Diceros bicornis minor: one gene and its partners. The protein of the gene in region 3 interacts with the protein of the main gene of each other region in a pairwise test. Links are inferred from orthologs where the notes say so. Each region holds a gene or a part of one and is shown on either strand. Other genes may lie near its edges.

Region 1 (7,500 bases), on a different chromosome or scaffold from region 3:
AAATGAGTCCAGTGAAGCTTACAGAAGTGAAGAAACTTGTTCAAGAGTCACAAGCTAATAAGGAGCAGAACTAGGATTCAGAATTGCTTTTTTTTGTTCCAGTCCACCCTACATGCAACTTGCTTTCTCGAGCACTCATAGCAACTTCTTGAATGCCTTCTCTTCTCAGGACCTCCCAAATTGCGCACACCAGTCTGTGGTTTATAGATTGACTGAAGAGAAAGTCATCTTGGGCAGGGAATTAACCCTAAATTCTACAATAATTTTGTTACAGAATTACAGAACACCTTCACCTAGAGAGGTCTTGCAACTTAAAACAGCCCTCTGAAAGCATATCTATGAAGTATATTTTATTTGGTTACGCCAACATGCACATTGCTATGAAACATGCAGCTTGTGTACAAAGCTGGTTCTCAAAGATAAACTTATCAATAGAAAAGCAATTTCTATATGCTTTCCATTAAGCGAGGCATTCTAAAACAAAATTCTAAGAGAATTCTGACAAAACAATAATTGATAAAGAAATGAGATTTGCTCTATCAAAGAGCTTAAATGTATAAACACGACCTTCAAAATTTTCAGGCATTAACTCTATCTCCCTCCAGTGAAAATAAATTCAATTGCACTTTAAAATTATGATTATCCTTTTGTTGAACCAGGGCTGCTGCTGCTTTGTTGATTATACTTCAGTCCATTATCTACTTGTAAATTTCATAAACATGCAAGTTCTGTATCCCCAGGCCAAAACTTATTGAGTTACCAATGTAAAATTAAAAAAAAAAGGATTCGAGAAGATTTAAGTACTATGCCCATCGAAACTGCAATTTTTAGTAAGAAATTCAATAAGTATATTTACAAGGAGCATATGTGTACTCATCCATTCAAACCTTTCCTGAGCATCTGCTATGTTCTCTGCACACTGGGGAGGGAGAGGCAAATCAGACCCCATGCAACGTCTGCTGTCAAGGGGGTGCCACGGCAGGTCAACGTAATATGTATGGAGATGCCATGGGAGAAGCGAACCAATTCCTGGGGAGACAAAGGGGGTGGGATAAGGAGAACAGGGCAGAAAAGGCTTTTCAAAGAGTACAGTTAGCTTAAGTGAGTATTTTTAAGGGGAAAAATTTCAGTACAAGAACCCTTGTAAATCAGCTCTCTAGGAGATAAGTAGACTGAGGAACAAAATTAAAGATGGAAAGAGCAGCAAAGACAAAGCAAACAAGGTGGACAGAGACTGCTCCACAGGAATGAGTTATGTATCCTACACAGTTAGCTATAAGAAAAATGAGAAGGCTTCCGAGTCATAAGAGCTCAGCTAAATACCAGCTTGCCTGCTAGATTTGTGAAGTTAGCTGTCACCTCATTTCTAGAGAACTCTTCACCCAGAAAAACAAACATATATAATGGCATTTACTTGACAATGAAGCAAAAAGAATTTTTTTTTAAGAATTTAAGGAAATTAGCAATCAAATCTGAGCAAAACCTATATTTTTACCTGTAGATTAAGAAGAGAAATTCTCCAAAACATGTTTTAGAGTTGACCTTATTTGTGGTTAAGAGTCCTTTCAGTTCATTTAACAGAATTTTAAAGCGAAGATGTCTTTACTTAAAAATAGTAATATACATTCATTTACTGGGGTAACTCAAGTTGAACCTTTTTCGATGCCTTGGTCAGTATATCAGTTTTACTTTTTGAGGCGATTCTATGTGCTTTCCAAATAAGTAACTTAATACTCTTCACCTCTCCAGCGCTGTCAGGACCCGAACAGATAAAAATAGAAGCCTTCGTTAATTGTGAATCAACCTGAGGATCCCATGAGCTACCAGAGTACAGAAAAAGGTAAATGCTCAAAACATGGTAGGCACGCACCTTCAAGGATCCGAAGGGAGCGGAAAAAAATTTCGCAATGTCAAGATCACTTCACCTTATTGTTAAGAAAACAACACACACCTTTAAGTCCCTCAGTCAACGTTCGTGTCTAAATCTTTCTTTAATGAGTCTCTTCAGTAACGTACTAAAACACAACAAAGAAGGCATTTAAAAACTTCCACACTTGGCGAGTCCGTGAATCACAGAGAAAGGCTCAGTTCTCCGTCCCCGTAACCCTACCCCCTTCCCTCGCGCACACAAGCGACTGCTGTGGTGCACAAGCACACAGGGTCTTCAGGCCACGGGAGCAGCAAGCTCTCGGCCTTCAAAAAGATTTTAAAAAGGAAAAATAAATTCGGCAAAAGACCATGAAACTTCAAAAGACTCCAAAATGAATAATGTGTAAGAGCCATCGCCTATCCGAGCAAATTCTACGGTGCCATTTTTTGCCCCAAGTCACATAAATATATGCTATTCGAGTTACAACGTCTCTGACGCCCAGACTTCGCAAACTTTCTGGACAGAGAGATGCTGGGGCCCTAAGACGCCACCGGCCACGACTGGATCCCTACTCCTCACGCCCCGCAACTTCTCGCCCGACCTCGGGGCCCCCTTCCCGCGTCCGCCCGGCCCCGCCCCGCGGAGCGCGGACCCCCGGGCGGCCCCGCAGCCTGCCGGCGGCGGCAGCCGCGTCCTGCGGGCGGGCGCCGGCCGACCCCAGCGCGAGGGGAGCGGCCCGGGAGCGCCCCGTTTCTCACAGACCCCAACATGGCGTCCGCCGCCGCCGCCCGCGACGACGACACCTCCCCGCGCCGCCGACGGCCAGGGACCGCGAGGGGAAGCGCCCGGAAAGTTTCGCTTCTCCTCTCCCGGCCCGCCAGGGGCCGGCGGACAACCAACCCGGGCTTCACCTACCCGGCCAGGCGCGGGCGGCGGCGAAAGTCCGACTGCTCCTCGTCCCAGGCGCCGGGCGCGGACTCTGCCGGCTCCCCGCCCCGGCCTCCCAGGGTGTGCGCGGCCGCGACCGCGCGCAGCCGGCCAGATCCAGACGCGAAGGACGGACGGGCGGCCGGCCGGCGCAGCCGCTCGCAGGTGACTCCCCCGCCCCTCCAGTCGAACCCCACAACGGCCGCCGGCGCTGGCCGCTCCCCTGCGCGCGCACGGGCGCGCCGCCGCCCACACGCCAGCGCGCGGGCACGAGCACACCCACACCGCCCGCTCCCCGCCTTTCTTGCCTGTTCCCTCGCCCCGCCCGTGCCGCCCCGCGCGACGCGCCCGAGGGGGCGGGGCCACCGCGGAGGCCACACCCACCTGGGCAGCTGGCGCCTGCGGTTGGTTCCTCCGCGCAGTGTGGGACCGCGTGCCCCGGCGCCCTTTGGGTGCAGGTGAGACTCCTTACCTGGCCCGCCTGGCTGCGGCGAGCTCTTGGAAAAGATTGTTCATCTCTCTACGTAGTTCTTGTAGGAGACTGGACGAATTGAAGGAAGGCTAGGCCCCCTTTGCCTCCTCACCGAACGGGCATCTCCACGGCACTCAAGAACTTTCCGCAGCCGGGAAGGAAAGGCTTTGGATTTAGATGCCCAAAGGCGTCTAGGCAGATATTTGTTTCCTGTTTCCACTTACCTTGGCGATCCTGCCCGTCACATCTTCCATTTGCTTTCTCTAAAACCCCTGCCTCTTGAAACCGAGGGAGCTGCGGTGGCAATACACCTGCATACCCCCAGGTACTCTTCTTAGCAGCCCTTTCTTTTAAGCGACTGGCTTTATTCTGTGCCTTAGAACTCTGGTCTTTCCAAAACTTATCTCTGGCGACACAAAACCTCATCTACCTACTTCACATACCTGAAAAATGCAAGATAGTATGTAAGGTTAAATCTGCCCTTTTCGTTTATACCACAGCAGCTGTTTGCTAAGCGTGCTGTTGGGTACGTGGAGAAGATACCAAAGATGCCTAGGATAGACAAGGAATGGGGGGGGGCGGGGGGGACGGCATACTAACCTCAAACAAAACATGTAGGTGGAAATCTGCAAACCTACCGAGTCATCACCATCCCATCCTCTCTTCCGTCGCCTTCATCCTATCCCTTTTCCTCAAACATATTGTAGAATCTGCCTCTAAAACACGCCTCCTCCTCTCTTTTCCCCTCCACTCGGGACCACATAGGATTGTGTCACTCGCCTGCAGAAACCCTTCCATGGCTCCCCACTGGGGCTGCCAATTACAATTGTACAAGTTATAGTAGAACAACGCTATGGAAGAGTCCTTTCACATTGGAGCACTGAAAATTTTATACTTATTACAAATATTCTCTGGCAGATTTCAGTAAAGTGCCTTGTTCTAATAAAAGTATTTTACAACCGTTTTCCAACAAGATGGAAACGCCTTGAGGAATGGATGCCTTTTTCTAATTTGCCCAAAGGTGCCATATGGAGTAGGAACATTTCTGTTTCACTTACAACAAAATGCCAGCTGGTCACTAGGTCCTATGAGACCCAGCACAACCCAGCGTCTGCCATCCTCTCCACCTTAAAAAGATACCAAGCTCCACCCAAGTCCAGTCACGTTGACCTTGTGTCACTTTTCAAATACACCCAGCTCTTTTCTGCTATGGGGCCCACTGCCCTGGCTGCTTCTCTACCGAGACAATCACAAGCCCACCCTATCCTGCCCTTTGCATAGCTGTGGCCCCTTGTCGTCTTTCAGGCCTCTGTGCCCTGAGACAGTGCGGGTGTGCGCTTCCCTCACAGTACTTATAGATCTCCCTGGAGACGGCAGGCTCCATGAGGGCAGGAGCTCCCTGTCTTCTTGCCTTTCTATCCCCAGGTCCTCACAGGACAGGAGTGTGTGCCACCTTGTCAGTGGTCGACTTAGCCTTATTGCCACCCCTTTCTACATTCTCCTCTGCGCTGCGGGGAGAAAGCCTAGAACTCTATTTTCCAGAGGACTTTTCCTTAAATGGTTCCAGGTTAAATTCTGCCAAGGGAGACACGTGTTAGATCTGAAAGGCAGAAGAAAAGGGGAAACCATTATTCTCCAGTATATCTTCAAACAGGCAGCTCAGATCATTGGGGGCTGTTTCCCTAGACTTCTGGGAAAATATTAGACAAACCCAAAAAAACTAATATCCTGTTTTTAAAAGGGAGGATGGGGGCTATATTCTAAAAAAAAAAAAAGGCCATGGAAATGTTCCAGAATAAAGAGGCAAAAGAGATAATGACAACTAATTACAATACCTGACCCTAGACTGGTTCCTATACTAGAAGGGGAGAATGTTATAAAGGACATTTTTGGGTCAATTGACAAAAGTGGAATATGAACAGAATATTAAATAAAATTGTATCACAGTTAAATTTTCTGTTCTAGTTATATAAGAGAACATTTCTATTCTTAGGATATACACACTGAACTATTTACCCTCAAATGATTCAGAAAAAATTTAAATATATAACATATAATTTAAATATTATATATAAAAGAGAGAAACCACCTATATAAATGATTTTTAAAATGGAGTAAAATGTTAGGTCAATCTGAGCAGAGTATATGGATGCTCTTGGTACTATTTCTATCTTGCAAACTGTAAGTTTGAAATTATTTCCCCCCCAAGAAAAAAGTTAAAAAATATATATAATAAAGCACTAAAGGGGCCGGCCCGGTGGCGCAAGCAGTTAAGCCTGCGTGCTCCGCTGCGGCAGCCCCGGGTTCCCTGATTCAGATCCCAGGCGCGCACCGACGCACTTTATATGGCAGCATCCCATATAAAGTGGAGGAAGATGGGCATGGATGTTAGCCCAGGGCCAGTCTTCCTCAGGAAAAAAAGAGGAGGATTGGCAGATGTTAGCTCAGGGCTGATCTCCCCCCCCCCCCAAAAAAAAGCACTAAATAAACTATACTGAATAAAGCAAGACAAACTGGGATAGTTGTCTTAAATATCCAGTCTCAGAATAGGCCCAGACTGATAGCTATATGATTAAAAAATAATACTTTTATGCTTTTTTCTAATTCCCCAGTGAACAAAAAGTGAATTTACTCTTCTTGCAGCCAAGATGCTCCCCGGCTATGGGAAAATAACCTACAACACACAGGGTGTCTTTCTAAACATTTAAATATAGGACACATGTGGCTTGCTGGCCACTGTGTCCTACAGACCAGTTTGGCACAATCACATTTGCTGCAGATCCTGGCTGCATGAAGTGGGAACAGATATTTTACTCCTTATAAAAATTCACTATGTAAGGAGAATAACCCAGATTATAACTATATCCCCAAATTGCAGTAATTTTTGCTTTGAAGCAGGAAGGCCCCAGGACTCGTGGAAATATAGTTCTATGCTGTCTTATCAGAGAGCCTTATAGTCAGCTCTTAGAAGATCATTTAGAAAATTTTCCCAATTAAATGACATAGAAGGTTCCCTTGAAAATATTGCGAGACAGTAACAAGATCAGTGTTAGCTGGGAGGGAGGGATAAACAGGCAGAGCGCAGAGAGTTTTTAGGACAGTGAAACTATTCTGTGTGACACTGTAATGGTGGATACATGTCATTATACATTTGTCAAAAGCTATAGAATGTACACCACCACAAGTGAACCCTAGTGCAAATATGGACTTTGGGTAATATTGACCTGTCAATGTAGGTGCACAAGTTGTAACAAATGTACCACTCTGGTGTGGATGTTGATAGTTGGGGAGGCTGTGCACGTGTGGGGAGCGGATATATGGGAACTCTGTACTTTCCACTCGATTTTGCTCTGAACCTGACACACACTGCTCTTAAAAATAACATCTGTTCAAAAAAAAATTATTGCACATGTCTCTTGGAGAAGTTGGAATTTAAGCTTGGGGAGTTATTCAAGAAGATTTTTGGCAGGCACTTAAATTCATTTCTTGAAAGATTTATTGTAAATCATATTACTCAAACTACTGCTCATTTAACCATCTGTCAAGCTATCTTACCTTAGAATCAAAAAATGAGGTTTAAATTTAAACAGAGAAGCTTATCCATATTTTAACAAATCAAATTTTCTTGGCAGAGATTGATCTTGACCTTGGGAGTTTTAACATATAAACCTAGTATGTATCAAAAATCCTATGAATTTTCCCAACAATGGATATAAATTGATCAGGAATTTGCCTCATTCCAAACTAAGTTTACATATTTCTAACAGGGATATCATTTATTTGTCATATCAGAAACTAAGGAACTAGTTTCATGCTCATCTCTGTCTTAGAAACGTAAGTCTAGATCAATTTGTACACGAAATAAATTCCAGCTAGATTAGTGAATTACATGTAAAATATGTAAACTTTTGTACAAAAAAGACATATAAAATATACAACCATATTAATTTTTTATCTTTGGTAGTATTGTGCATGATTCTTTTTCTTCTCTATATTTTACTAAACTTCTATAATAAGTATGTATTGTTTCATTTTTTTAAAAAACACACAAGGCATAGTCATGGGTAAGTTTTTCAATGAAGTGGTATAAGTCATATTCAAGTACTCATACCCTAAAAGACACAATGGCTGCTTTCTTCTATAAAAAATTCCTAAATTATTTGCACATTACCTTCCCTGCCAGTAGAGGGAAATTATACAACAAATGCCTTATTCCTCAACATTACCTCCT
Region 2 (6,906 bases), on a different chromosome or scaffold from region 3:
AAAACCGAGACCAATGGAGAATTATCTCCCAACGTGAGCTATCGCTACACATGAGAACGGCTAAAACAATTTTCTTAATATGAACAACACCACCAAGTGCTGGTGAGAATATGAATGACTAGAAATCTCATACATTACTTTTGGAAATGCAAAATGGTACTTTGGAAAACAGTGGAATATTTTTGATAAAGTTAAACACATACTTTCCACATGATCCAGCAATTCCACTCCTAGGTATTTACCTAATTGAAATGAAAACATATTCACACAAAAACCTGTTTTGCAAATGTTTATAACAGTTTTATTCATATTGTTAAAAACTAGAAACAATCCAAATATCCCTTAGTTGATGAATAATCAACAAACTATGGTGCATTCATGCAATGGACTACTATTCAGCAATAAAAAGGTCAAACTACTGAAACACACAACAACATGGATGAACCTCAAACACATTATGATAAGCCCATCATGAAAGAAGCCAGACTCAGAAGCCTGCATGATTCCATTTATATGACATTCTGGAAAAGACAAAGCGATCAAGACAGAAACTATATCAGCAACTGCCAGGAGCTGGAGGTAGGGGAAAGGACTGACTGCAAAGGGACTTGATGGAATTTTTGAGGTGATGGACTGTTTTATATCTTGATGGCGGTGGTGGTTACAAGACTGTGTGTGTTTGTCAAAACTCACTGTGCACTAAGAAGGATAGATTTTACTGTATGTAAGTTATATCTTTAAAAAGGAAAAAAGAGAGAGAGAATATGTATAAATTCTAGAATCAGACTGCCTGAGCTCTGCCTTTTTCTAAATGTGGATCTTGGGGATATTCTCAAACTCTCTAAGCATCAATTTTCTCAACTGTGAAGTGAGAATAATAATAGTATTTACTTCTTAGAGTTGTTAGCTTTCCTTGTTGGTGTTCCATCATTAATCATTATTTGATATCCTATTATATACACAACATTGTGCTTGATACAGTTAAGGATGCAGAAATGAGTCTGTGGCACGGCCCCTGCCTTCCAGGAGGCTGCAATCTAGTGAACAAACATCTCCTGAATGGACAAATAAAAACAATTGTTTTACTGCCATTAGATTATTACAATTACAAAAATTAACAAAAGCCAGTGTTAAGAAACTATTAGGCCAAAATCATGTTAATAATTTTAAATAAAGTTAACTTTAGCAAGAATTTTCTAAAATAGAAATTTCAAGTCAAATCTAAGAAATCCTATTGGTAACCTAGATATTTCTAGAATTATCTCTACAGATAATTTTAAAAGACTTAAAATTTCATTTATTTATAGTTTATCAGCTTCAGAAAGAATATCAGCCTATCTTGTCTTCACCGATTTATTCTAGCATTTCACTATTACTTTGAGTAAGAGTATCAAGAAAGCATTATGAAAACAATATGAAATTATGTATCCTCATTTACCAAGACTTCATGTAACTGGATAAAACATTTCCCTAAAAATATAAAGCTAAGAGGAATCATGGAAAATGGATGAAGAGACTATGAGGTATTCCAGAAAAGTCTGCTCCCTCCAACAAGAAGAGAATTAATGACTTCACCTTTACATCACGTAAAAGACCCAATAATCTGTGTGACCTATGTATGCGTTACAACACATCACATATACATACCAACAGCTCTCTTTGCATATCATGTACCTCTCTCCCTCGACCATGAGAAACGTCCTTATGTCAGGCTTACAGTATTAAAGCATGAGAAATTCATGCCAGAACATACTATAGCTCCTTTTACAGAGTTAATCATATTTTCACCATATTCATTATACATTTATTGAAGGTCCATTAAATGCTCAGCTCTGACAGGATAAAGCTCCATAGGCAGTTTGTTTTAAACGTGTCCTTTCCATTCAAAGCTAAAAGAAAATCAAGCTATTCTTATTCCAAAGATTTCCTATCTACTGTCATTTCACATCACATCTCGGCGACACACTGTGAGAAGTGTTCTTGGAGTGTTATCAACTAAAAATTTTGCAACAAGTACGGCTTTTTGCACAGGATTTCACACTGAATAATATAGTAACATCTAGAGATTCCTAACCTAGTAAAAAAAAGGAGAATATTTTTAAAGATGTTTTAAAAAGCACAACATATGCAGAGGGGCTTCTCAACACAACTCACAGACTCATTTTCACCATTTCATTTGCTCAGAACTATTGCGTTGGATTATGGAGCTCACAAACAGATCTTCCAAAGTTTTATATATTGAAAATATTTCTAAGGATTACATCTCTCAATAAGAAGTCAGTATGTATAGAAAGTATAAGGAAGAGAAAAATAAAATTCATATGATAACTAAGACAAGTCAAAGTAAAATGAGTAGAAATGTCCTTTGGGAGAACCCAGAGAAAATGATCATTGGCTAGCTTACCTTGCTTTTGTCCATTAACATTTTCTAAAACACCAGAGAGCTGGCTGTCAAAGCTGTGTTGAAGGCCACTCCTTTGCTTTTCAAGGTGATGTTCTTCCTCAGCAATAGAAGGAAGCACATGTGGTGGCTTTTGGTCATCAAGGGTCTGATTGGGCCACTGGGACATTATGGAACATGAGTCCTTTGTATTTGCGTGTCGGCTAAGTCTGGGGCTTGCACTTTGGGGAGAGTCCTGCAAATCACTATTACAACAGGAAAAATGATCCACTTCAAGAAACAAAGAATTTGCATCTTCTTGACTCCAATCATTGCCTTGTTCTTCATCTTCAAAGTAAGTTTCCTGAATCTGAATATCATCTAAGTCCTGGTCTAGCTTGTCACTCAATTTAGAGTCTTGTTTGCTCAAGTTAACCAGCGAAGCAGATAGTGTATCTCCTGCTTGCTGGAGAGCTTCATAAACCCGAGATATCCAGGAAGAGAGAGGCTGGAAGAAGTTCTGAACTTCCTGAGACGCCATGGCCAACACCATGGCCAGCTATTTGATGTCTACAAGTCCACTTGTTCAGTTCCTTCAGCACTCTGGACTTAACGTGAACTACAGAATAAGCAGGATGAGAAATTAAATTGGAGGTCTCTTAATGGCTGTCAATATTTCACTCTCAAAACTTCTCAGCTGAAACAGAGGAAAGAAATACTTATACCTGTTAAAGTTACAACTTCAGACTCATCACCAGATACCTACAATCAATGCCAAACAGGATTTGGAGACAAAAAGAGATCATCATTGAAATCTTAAGGCAACTAAATAAAAATGACTGTGAAAGTCTAAATGTATTTCAATGCCTATTCAATTCCACAGGCATGTGCAAAATTTCCATTAGCAGTAATGGGCTCTATTCACATGGACTGAGAGAAGTCTATCCCCCATAGACCATACTTAATAGTGTGAAAAGGATAAATGAATCTTCATTAAGAGGCACTTGGACATGACATTTCAAATACAAGAAAGGTTGGATGCTTCATCTACGAACCTGCAGATCCCAGAGAGCAGGCTAATAAGCATCTCTGCTTCATGACACGCAGATTTATCCTTTCAAAGGAAATGGGCTCCTGGAATTCAAAAGCTTTTAACAAATCTTAAAATAGGCTCTTATATCTTTATGCAATTTCTAGAAATTATATCTATTCTTGGGAAGCAAACAACCAGTGAAAAACTGAGGGTGGCAAGTGGATTATGCAGCTTCCTGGAGACATGTCCCTAGCACGTTGTTTCCTTTGTCTATGTTCCAACCTGCCAAAGTCAGCCCCCCGACAACTTGTGAGACTCCTGAGAGAACTTCTTCCCACAAGATTCAAACCTGAAGGAGGCAGCTACAGGCCATCAACCAAGCAACAGGGCATGATGAAGACTTTGGAACTCAATATCTATACTTTTACATATATATATATGCATACAAACATATACTATGTATACGTAGGCATACGTATGTGTATTATGTGTGTGTGTATGTATCTTACTGCCTTTACATTGCTCATCAACAGCTCAGGATGAATGTTATAAATGACAGCAGAGCCTAAATTCACTACCTGTACTTTACTCCATCTCTTTTATAGCAATAGCTTCCTTCTGACCAAATCTACCAGCAGTCCCTTACGGTTCAGCCCACTTGACCTCAGGCTTCTGCATTTGATATGACTGCCTACGTTCTCCTAAAAATCTCTCTCTAGGTTTTGTGACAGCCATTCATGCATGCATTGATTCATTCAAGAAACAAATATTGATTAAGTGCTGGGCAAAATGCCAGGTGTAAGATAACCCTGAGGTCTCTGTCCCCATGGAGCCCACATTCCAGTTAAAGGGAAACTGAGCTCTCTGCACTTTCACCTTATCCTGAATAATTCATGTGTCTGTCTTTCAGGCTCTTCCTTGTCTTCCCACAAACTACATATATGCAACCACTCATTGTCCTGTGGTTTCTCCTCCTCCCCCTTTATGCTCATCAGCTGGGAGAGCTGATCCATCTATAAGTCTCAATTAACACTTTTTTTTTTAATTCCAAAATATACATCTCCAGCCCTTAGCTCAATCCCTCTTTCCAGGCTTGCATCTCTCATTATTAAGCCAGTGGTTCTCAAACTCGGCTGTGTCAGGATCCCCTGATGAGCTAATAAAGAACACAGAGGCCCAGGCAGGTTGAAGGAATAGGCCCTGGACCTTTGTATTTTTGTCAAGTTCCCGGGGTGATTCTAACACTCACCAAAGTTTGAGAAATGCTGATCTAAGGAAGTAATACACACGGGCATCTCACCAAAATCTCAGATTCAGCTCATCAAAACCTAGCACATCCCATTTGCTACAACAGGTGTTCAGTACTGGACTCACAACATTCTAGGGGCTGTGTATTTCTCTCTTCAACACTTCCCCCTTGGGCCAGCCCCGTGGCTTAGTGGTTAAGCGCATGCACTCCGCTGCTGGCGGCCCGGGTTCCGATCCCCGGCGCGCACCGACCCACCGCTTCTCCGGCCATGCTGAGAACGCGTCCCACATACAGCAACTAGAAGGATGTGCAGCTATGACATACAACTATCTACTGGGGCTTTGAGGAAAAAAAAAAAACATTTCAGAAAAAAAAAAAATACTCCCCCCTTCCACTCCTTCCGTTCCAAGTTCTGCTAGTTTGGGGTCTATGAATTCTTTCTTCCATTATGTTTTGTCAAGTGATCATCCTTCCTCACACTCTAATTTCCTCAGATATTCCACACGTGGTCAGTTTCAGTCTCTAGTCTTCCCCACCTCAATCCATCCTCTGGGTTTGCTCACCATAACCTGAACTTGAACCAGGTTTACTGCCGTCTCCTCCCCTAGAAAGAAATTTCCATGGAGGGCAGAGATTGTGTGTTTTGTTCTCTAGTTTATCCCCAGTGCCTAGAAGTGTGCTGAGCACATGTTAAATTCTCAACAAATGAATTAACAAATGCCATTTAAAATAGTGCTTACATCAGTGTCCAGCATATAGTATGTACTCAAATTTGTTAAGTTGGTGGATAAAACCTACTCAGAATTGTTGAAAAGCTCTTAATGTCACTACACAAAGCCCCTGCTTGGTAACATTAAAGAGTTCTTTCCACATTTGTTCCACTCCATTTCACCACTCACAGGTTTTTGTTTGTTTTTTTCTCCACAAATATTTTGCTTAGGTTAATATGCTTCAGGGCACCACAGACCTAGAAAGTTCCCTGACAAATCACTGGGTTTAGCATCTACTACTGTCCTTTAGGTACTTAAAACTTTTTTTTTTTTTTTTTTGTGAGGAAGACCATCCCTGAGCTAACATCCATGCCCATCCTCCTCTTTTTGCTGAGGAAGACTGGCCCTGGGCCAACATCCATGCCCATCTTCCTCCACTTTATATGGGACACCGCCACAGCATGGCTTGACAAGCGGTGCGTCGTGGCGCGCCCGGGATCCGAACCTGCGAACCCCGGGCTGCAGCGGAGCATGCGCACTTAACTGCTTGTGCCACCGGGCCAGCCCCTAGGTACTTGAAACTTTTTAAAACAGAAATGGTGTATCTTCCTTAATAATTCAATAATCCTTTCTATTGTTTTATTATACAGAGAAAATTTTGTTTTCACACGCAACCCAAAATCTTTGAATTTAAGCCAGCATTTTCTTGTCCAATCTTTGAGCTTTAGTAACTGACTATGCTCTCAGTCTCATGGTCTCCACGTCTTCTGTAATCTCGGTTCATCAAACCCTCACGGCAAATTTTCTAAAAAGTAAATCTTACATCACTCTCCTAGTTTAAAAAAAAAAAACAAAAAAACCATCATGGCTTCCTATTTCTTATACTGCAAAATTTGAGCACTGGCAAACATTCATTTATATTTGTTGATGCAGAGTTTTTAAAAAATTAATTTTAATGCCTCAGTTGACTACAGTCCTCACCTCTCCCTGTTGTTTATACCCACTTGCTTCACGCATTTCTGTGTAGCCTGCCTGATCCCTGGAGGCATCTGAATTTTCAAACCCTTACCCTATAGGATAAATTTCATGTTCTTTACCATGGCATACAAGAAGAGAGATGCTCAACACATTTAACAATCAGCACCCATCTAACTGGCCTTAGTGCTAGAGGGGTGCTAAGGGCCTCCTGCTAGATGTCAACTCTTTAATTGCTGAATCACTGGTGTGAGGAGATCTGGGGGTGCAATAGGACAGTGGGAGGGGCCACTGTCTATTTATCAACCAGCTTAGAACTATTTCAATATTTTCACAACTCACAGAGCCCTATCTTTGGTCCTGACTGAAGATTCAGCTTGCATATGTGCTGTCCCCACAGTGGGGACTCAGCCATTCCTCACCACTCCTCACTAGAAAGTCCTATGTGCCCGTCATGCTAACACACTAAGCCTTTTCCAGAGTGACTGTGCTCTTTCCTGACTTCTATTTGCTCTGCCAGGGATGCCTTGTCTCCTTAGCCTGCCTGGTAAATACTCAT
Region 3 (6,879 bases):
CTCTGGGGAGCTCCCCTGGGTCCTCTGGACTTCCCAACGTGCCTCTTCTCTTGGCAGATTTTGCTTCCTAACCTTTCAGGCTAATAAATGACAGCTGTGAGCACAACTGTATACTGAGCCGAGTCCTCTCAGCAAATCATCGAACACGGGGGTGGTCTCAGGGACCCCCCAACACACCTTTTCTTCTCCGGGGTACTTATCACCATCGGCCATCCTATGATATTTTAGTTATTTATCTTGCTTACTGTCTCCCCCCTCCTCCACCCAGGCCCCCTCTCTTTTAGTCTCTGCAGTATCCCCAGCATCACTCCGCACACACCCACAGAGGACCCTGGGAGAATATTTGCTGAATGACAACTGTAACGGTTTTATTTCCAAAGCCGGAGTCCCTCCCTGGGCTTGTGACGAGAAGGGGGCCTTTGGCCGGAGCAAAAGAGCCGCGCGGGACAGGGCTGGACAGGGATGGGGCGGCTGGCTTGGAAGGCTGGCAGATCCTCGAAGACACCTCACACAGGCTCCATCTGCAGCTCTTCCCCGTCTACGGCCTCCGTCAGGTGGAAGGCGGCATGGGAGCCAATGACCACGAGGGTGGCTCCTGCAGGAAAGTGGGCAGTTTAGGGACATGCTCTCTCACCTGGCTCCCACCGCCCACCCAGACCCTGTACTCACCCAGGACCCAGAAGACGGCAGAGCCCGCGCCAGCCAGCCAGAAGAAGGGGAAGGAGACGGCCCCTGCCAGAGCGTACTGATGGGCTGGGCTCACCTCTCGGCCTGAGGGGCAGACGGCATAGGGGCATGCTGTTCCGGCACTCGGGCCCTCTCCCAGTCACCCCTGATGCCCCCCAAACAGGCTGGTGTCACGAGCTCCAGGAGCTAATCCTGGATTAGAATTTGGATCTAATCCAAATTCCTTATGCCAAGGAAGTCCTGGCCCCACCCACGTCTCCAATGTCCCCACTGTCTGCCAGCATAGAGCACACCTCCCTGAGCCCCCTGCCCTCTGCCCTGCAACCCCACTTCTGCTAGGAAGCTCCCAGCCTCCCACTCCCCCAGATGAGAGCTCTCCTGCTCCAACCTGCACTCAGGTAGACCAGGAATCTCAAACTGGTGGCCCAAGGGCCAAGTCTGACCTGTGGATGTATTTTTTGAGTCTGCACAATGTTCCACAAGAATCTGATTTGTGGCTGACAGAGAAACTGAATGACTTCACATAACAATACAGATTTCTGGCTTCTCGTGGCAGACTGGAAGACAGGTCTGCACACCCCAGCAGCAGCAGTGGCTGAAGCCAAGTCACAGCTGTGCTTTCCAGGCGCTCCTTCCATGCCCTGTGCTTGTCCCACATGTCCCTCCACCCAGCCCACCTTTGTCATGTGCATGACTTGCAGGCCCCTGAAGAACTCGGTCTCAAGTCTCCCTGTTTGTCTGATCCTAGCTCTTCCCTGTCCTTACTCTAAACCTTGAGCTTCCCCTGCGTGGGGACTCAGGCCTTTCTTCCCAATGGTGCTTGGTGCTAGTCTGGGACCACAAGAGCCAAAAGCCTCAGCTTCCCTCTCTGCGAAGTCCCAAGATCTTTCTGGTCTCATCCCAGAAGCAGGACAGAGGCAGGGGACAGATCTAGGCCAGTGTAAGATCACCACCTGGTGTCCAACGTGGGTACCTGCAGCTGATGCCTTCCACAAGTGACGGAGGAGAGAGAGGGGAAGCTAGCTTTAAGGGACAGGAGATAGGTGCAGAGTGAGTTTTGGGGCATCTCATTCTGGGTCTGGGGAACAGCAATTTGGGGGGCTGAAACTGGGTGGGAGCACCTGGTGTGTCTGAGATTTTAAGGGATCGGGTTTGGGGGACCTAGTGTAGATCTAGGCTTGGGCAGACAGGTTTGGGGTTTAAGGCTTTCCTTCCAAGAGACCAGGATTTGAGGCGTCAGGGATCCATCTGGGCAAGGGAGCTCTCACCAAAAAGCACAAACTTGGACTGCAACGTGCGCAGATAGAGGATGTAACAGGCGCCAAAGAAGACGGCCAGAGCCACCAGCAGCATAGGGGACGTCACCCTGGAGAAGGGCAGGGAGGCATCGGTCAGGCAGCTGGGGCTGGGCCAGCCAGGGAACCCGATTGTCTACACCAGCGGATGACAGGCTATGTCCTTGAGGCCAGGCAAGTCTAGGTCATGTTAGGTCACAGTGCGTCCCAGCCAGGCTGATGGGGAAGTAGGGACCTGGCCCTTCGGTGAAAAGGTCTGGCGGAGCCGTCCGGGGGGCGGGGCCGAGCAGTGCGGCCAGAGCTCTCGGTGGGGCGGGCCTGGCGGGCGGGGGGCGAGGGCGAGGGCGAGGGCGGGGCGGAGAGGCACTCACACGCAGTATACGATGAGGCCCAGGAACACGAAGACGTAGTTGCTCTGGTAGTACTCCACGTTGCGCACGAGGCGCTGGCACAGCTCGCCCAGGTTGCGGGGCCGCGAGAAGCGCCGCTGGTCCACGAAGGAGCCCCAGGGCCGGATGGTCGCGCGGCGCCGCTCCAGCCACTCACGGCCTACGCCGGACGGGATCAGTTTCGGCAGCAGGGTCCTGGTGGGCGGAACCGGGTCAGCGGCGGACCGGGAGGGAGCCCGGACTCATGAGCAAGATGGGGGCTGCGGGGGGCGGGCTCTGGGGTCCTGCGGGCGAAGGGTCTAAGACTCCTAAACCCTAGGGCAAAAGGGGGCTGAGGGCCCAGACTTCAGAGTCCCCGAAGAGTAGACCAGGGGCCTGGACTCCTGTGTCTGGGGGCCGGGATTCCTGGGGCCCGAGGGAGGAGGGGGCGGGGGCCAGAACTCCCGAGTGTCGGTCAGGGGGGCTACAGGGGGCTACAGCCGGCTTGCTCACGCGGCGCTCAGCCCTTCCGCCTCGGCATCCTTCTGCTGGTCCCTCTCGGCCGCCATGTCTGCGTGGTGAGGGGTAGAACCGCTGTAACGAGCCCCGGGCCCTGCGGACCCTGCCGGCCCCGCCCGAGCCCGGCCTCACCCAGCTGAGCCGACGTGGCGCCGCTCGGGAGCCGCTTGGGGCGGTAGTTCTGCGTTGAGCATTGTGGGAATTGTAGTCCTGATGCTGTCCGGCAGGGTGGGCGCCATGATGGCTCACAAAACACCTTCGGAGATGCTGTCGCATAAAGCGCCGGTGAGCGCCTCTGGGCATTGTGGGAATTGTAGTTGCAGAAGCGGCGTATGTGGAGTAGGGGGACGGTGGATTGTCCAGAATCGAGGCATTATGGGAACTCTGAAGGCGGAAGTAGACGTTGTGTACTCTCTCCCGTGCAGGATACAATGGGAACCGTGTAGAGCTGTCGTTCTGACTCTAAAGTGCATAAAAACAGCTGGAAGGTTTGATAAAACAGATGTTCTGATTCAGCAGGTCTGGGGTGGGGCCCATTAATCTGCATTTGTAACAAGTTCCTAGGTGATACTGAAGCTGCTGACCTCTGGACCACATTTTGAGAAGGGAGACTGTAGAGAATTCGCGAGAATCTGTTCCTTCCTTTCTTCCTCAAGAGACAGAGGCTTGTGAGAGGGCCATGGTTGCTGGAGCGGGTATCTGAGGTGGGGAGCAAAGCTGCCCGCACAACCCTTGGGCTGCCAAGGATGAATGGGTTAGGACTAAAGACCTAGGGACTCCCCCGTTTGAATGGGAAGGAGGGAAGTTGGGAAACGGAAAGGATTGAGAATTTTTTGAAGAGAGTTGTTATAATTAAAAGAGCTGGGACTCTGGAGTCAGGTGAAAATCCAGGCTGATGATCTCATCACCTCCTTGAACCTCAGTATCTTCATCGGGACAGTGGGGATGGATCCTGATGGTACCACACTCATGAGGTTGATGATTCAGTTAAATGGTCCATGTAAAGTGTTTAAAAGAGTCTTGATGCTTTATAACTGCTCAATAAATGGTAGTCAATGTTATTGCCACTACATAATCATGAATGTTATGATTATTTCTAGAGTTCAGGCTTCTCAAATTTAACAGTAACATATTAGGAGCTGCTGGCCCCTTGGATGTCCCAAAGAGTGGCTGGCATCACAGGCCTAGGGCTTTCTTTTCCCCACTTCCCACAGCTGTAGTTCTCTCTCAGTCTTTGCCCCTGCCCCTGAGTTAGTTGTGGGAAAACAGCTGGAGTTCTTAAGGAGTGCACCAGAACAGGGCCCCAAGAATGTGGGTGGAAGTGTCGGGAAGCCTGGGCTCCCTTACGTGGACTGAGGTCCTAATTTTCCAAGGCTGAGTGGGGCTGAAGGAGAATATCCACATGGGATATCCAAATGACTCAACCCCAACTCTCCCAACATCCCTTTTGGGTTTGGGCTTTGAGGCCTGCTGGAGGTGGGGAAGACGGCCCTGCCAAAGGGGCTGGTGGAGCAATAGGCGGGGAGGCCCCCTGTGGGGGTCCCAAGCTGAAGCTGAATGAGCCACACTTTGAAGATCAGATTGGCGAGTTACTCTTTATTTCCCCTTTGTCAGAGTCAGCCTTTTAGTAGAATCTTGTTCACGTTTCCCTCTTGGGTCTCGCCTGGCATCATGAAATCAAAGGAGGGTGGTGAGTGCAGTTAGCTCAGAGCGTTAATGGGGGAGCAGCATTAACTGAGTTCAGAGTGATGGGGGCAGCAGAGGGAACCAGAAGAGGCCCCAAGAGGAAGACAAATCTTGGGGAGCAGAGAGTTGGAGGCAGAAGTCCATTTGCCTCCTCCATGGCCAACCTTGGAAATTGGGGGTTTGACTTTTGCTATGAGAGCCATTGGGTTTCCTTATAGGAACTCAATCAAAGCAGTTTCACTCCATAACCTACCAGGACTTGTTCCGAGCAGAGGACATAATGGGCAAAGGGCTGGAGGTGTCGAACAGCATGAGTTGTGGGCAGTGGGGTCCAGAGGTAAGGACATTGTGGGGAGGGTCCCTCTGAGAAGGACATGGGGGGAACTTTGACTCAGGGGATTTTGGGAGGTGGGGCCTTGGCACAGGGCATTGTGGGAGAGGAGCCCCTTGAAACAGGGATTATGGGAGAGGGGACCCTCAGGCAGAGATATTGTGAGAGATAGGAGGATCCCTGAGACGGGGGGATGGTGGCAGGGGACACCTGAGAAGACTGTGGGAGATGAGCTCTGGCCCTGTGGTCCCTCCAGCTTGAGGATCCCCAGAGAAGTGGAGCTGGAAGGGTGGGAAGACCTTAGCATAGACAATCAGAAACCTGGGTTATATTCCTGCTATGTGACCTCAAGGAAGTCTCTGCCGTTTCTGGGCCTCAGTTTGCCCACCTCTATGGTATTTCTTTCCCTGCACCTGATAAAGTAGTTTCTGTGGCCTCCCTAGGAGAGGTCCAGGCTCATGAAACCCCTACTAGGACCAGGCTCTGTCCTGGGCATCAAGAGCATATCTGGTGCACGTGGCTCCTGCCTTCTGACAGCCTTCCCCCCTCAGGTTTGGGTGCTCCTCCCTAATGCAATGGGCATATGCACACACTCATTCACACACAAGCTCTCAGCATCCCAGACATCTGTGCAGGGAGGTAGGCAGGCCAGGTCCAGCCCCAGGCCTTCCTCTGACTCACTTCTCTGGGCTGTGTTAGAAAGGCTGCCTCAAGGGAAGTGGTATAGCTGCCCAACCCGAATGGCTAAAATTCAAAAGACTGATAATACCAAGTGTTGGCGAGGATATGGAGCAAATGGAATTTTCATACACTGTAGGAATGCAGAATGACACAAGAGCTTTGGAAAGAGTCTGGCTGTTTCTATTAAAGCTAAACATAGTCCATCCCCTGACCAGCAATGCCACTTCTAGGCATGTACCCAACAGAGATGCATACACGTATCATCAGAAGACATTACTAGAATGTTCTTATTCCTAGCAGCACCAATTGTCATGGCCCCCAAAGTGGAAACAACCTAAATGTCCACCAACAGGAAAATGAATGAACAAATTGTGCTATAGTCACACAATGGAATACTACGCAGCAATGAAAAAGAATGGGTTACTGATATATGCAGTAACATGAATGACTATCACAGACGTGATGTTGAGGACAAGAAGCCAGACACATGAGACAAAATGCTGTAAGATTTCATTTATGTGAAGTCCAAGAACAGGCACAACTAAAGGATGGTGACAGAAATCATATCAGTGGTTCCCTCTGAGGGGGGTGGTGCTGACTGGAAAGGGACAGGAGGGAACTTTCTGGATGGATGGACATGTTCTTTACTTTGATCTGGGTGCTGATTACATGGATGTAATTTTTAAAGTCATTGAGCTGTGCCCTTAAGACTTGTGCACTTCACTGTATGAAAGTTTTTCTCAATAGAAAGAGAGAATAACACAGTGACTTAGAGCTTGGACAGCCTAGGTTCAAATCCCGGATTTGTCACCTTTCAGCTGTGTGACCTTGAGCAAGTCACTTTCCCTCTCTGTGCCTCCCATCTTGTAACGATTAAAAGAGCTAATACACATAGAGTGTTCAAGAGAGAGCAGAGCACAGACTGGGCGCTCAGTGACTCACCATCATCATCATGGTCACTGTCATTGTCTCCCTGGGGTCCTACTCCAACGTGAGAGGATCTGACTCCCTCCCTCTCCCCTGTTCTGATCCCATAATCCCATCACCTGGCGAATTCAAGCTGCTTCCACTCTAACTTTCGTGAGTCTAAAATTCCAAGATTCGATGACTCCGAGATTCTGTGACTGCCAAGCCCGTGCCAGGCGACATTCCTGGGATCGTGTGAATCACCCGGCCGTGTGTGCCAGCACAGGGGACGCCATCCTGCCCACACCCCCGCTTCAGAAAGCAAACACGACACACCGCCTCTCTCTCCCCACTGATATATTTGATAATTGTCCAGAACCAGAGATGGCATCAGCCAGGGGCTGAG

Evidence for each region.
Region 1: the proteins of RABAC1 (region 3) and PLEKHF2 interact in binary tests that used the Homo sapiens proteins (3 or more experiments, as listed by UniProt). The two-hybrid records come from large-scale screens. The link is inferred for Diceros bicornis minor from reciprocal best matches to the Homo sapiens genes RABAC1 and PLEKHF2.
Region 2: the proteins of RABAC1 (region 3) and SYT16 interact in binary tests that used the Homo sapiens proteins (3 or more experiments, as listed by UniProt). The link is inferred for Diceros bicornis minor from reciprocal best matches to the Homo sapiens genes RABAC1 and SYT16.

What each region holds. Positions count from the first base shown.
Region 1 is NC_080760.1:14,328,481-14,335,980, reverse strand, and holds the start of PLEKHF2 (pleckstrin homology domain-containing family F member 2), read right to left. Parts: upstream 3,004-7,500; 5' UTR 2,786-3,003; intron 2,016-2,785; exon of another isoform or gene 1,871-2,015; intron 1,752-1,870; exon of another isoform or gene 1,496-1,751; intron 1,030-1,495; exon of another isoform or gene 857-1,029; intron 1-856. UniProt on the Homo sapiens protein: May play a role in early endosome fusion upstream of RAB5, hence regulating receptor trafficking and fluid-phase transport. Enhances cellular sensitivity to TNF-induced apoptosis.
Region 2 is NC_080763.1:11,414,499-11,421,404, reverse strand, and holds the start of SYT16 (synaptotagmin-16), read right to left. Parts: upstream 3,004-6,906; 5' UTR 2,934-3,003; coding exon 2,405-2,933; intron 1-2,404. UniProt on the Homo sapiens protein: May be involved in the trafficking and exocytosis of secretory vesicles in non-neuronal tissues. Is Ca(2+)-independent.
Region 3 is NC_080773.1:17,247,385-17,254,263, reverse strand, and holds RABAC1 (prenylated Rab acceptor protein 1), read right to left. Parts: upstream 3,010-6,879; 5' UTR 2,920-3,009; coding exon 2,864-2,919; intron 2,567-2,863; coding exon 2,354-2,566; intron 2,054-2,353; coding exon 1,956-2,053; intron 772-1,955; coding exon 670-771; intron 596-669; coding exon 507-595; 3' UTR 343-506; downstream 1-342. UniProt on the Homo sapiens protein: General Rab protein regulator required for vesicle formation from the Golgi complex. May control vesicle docking and fusion by mediating the action of Rab GTPases to the SNARE complexes.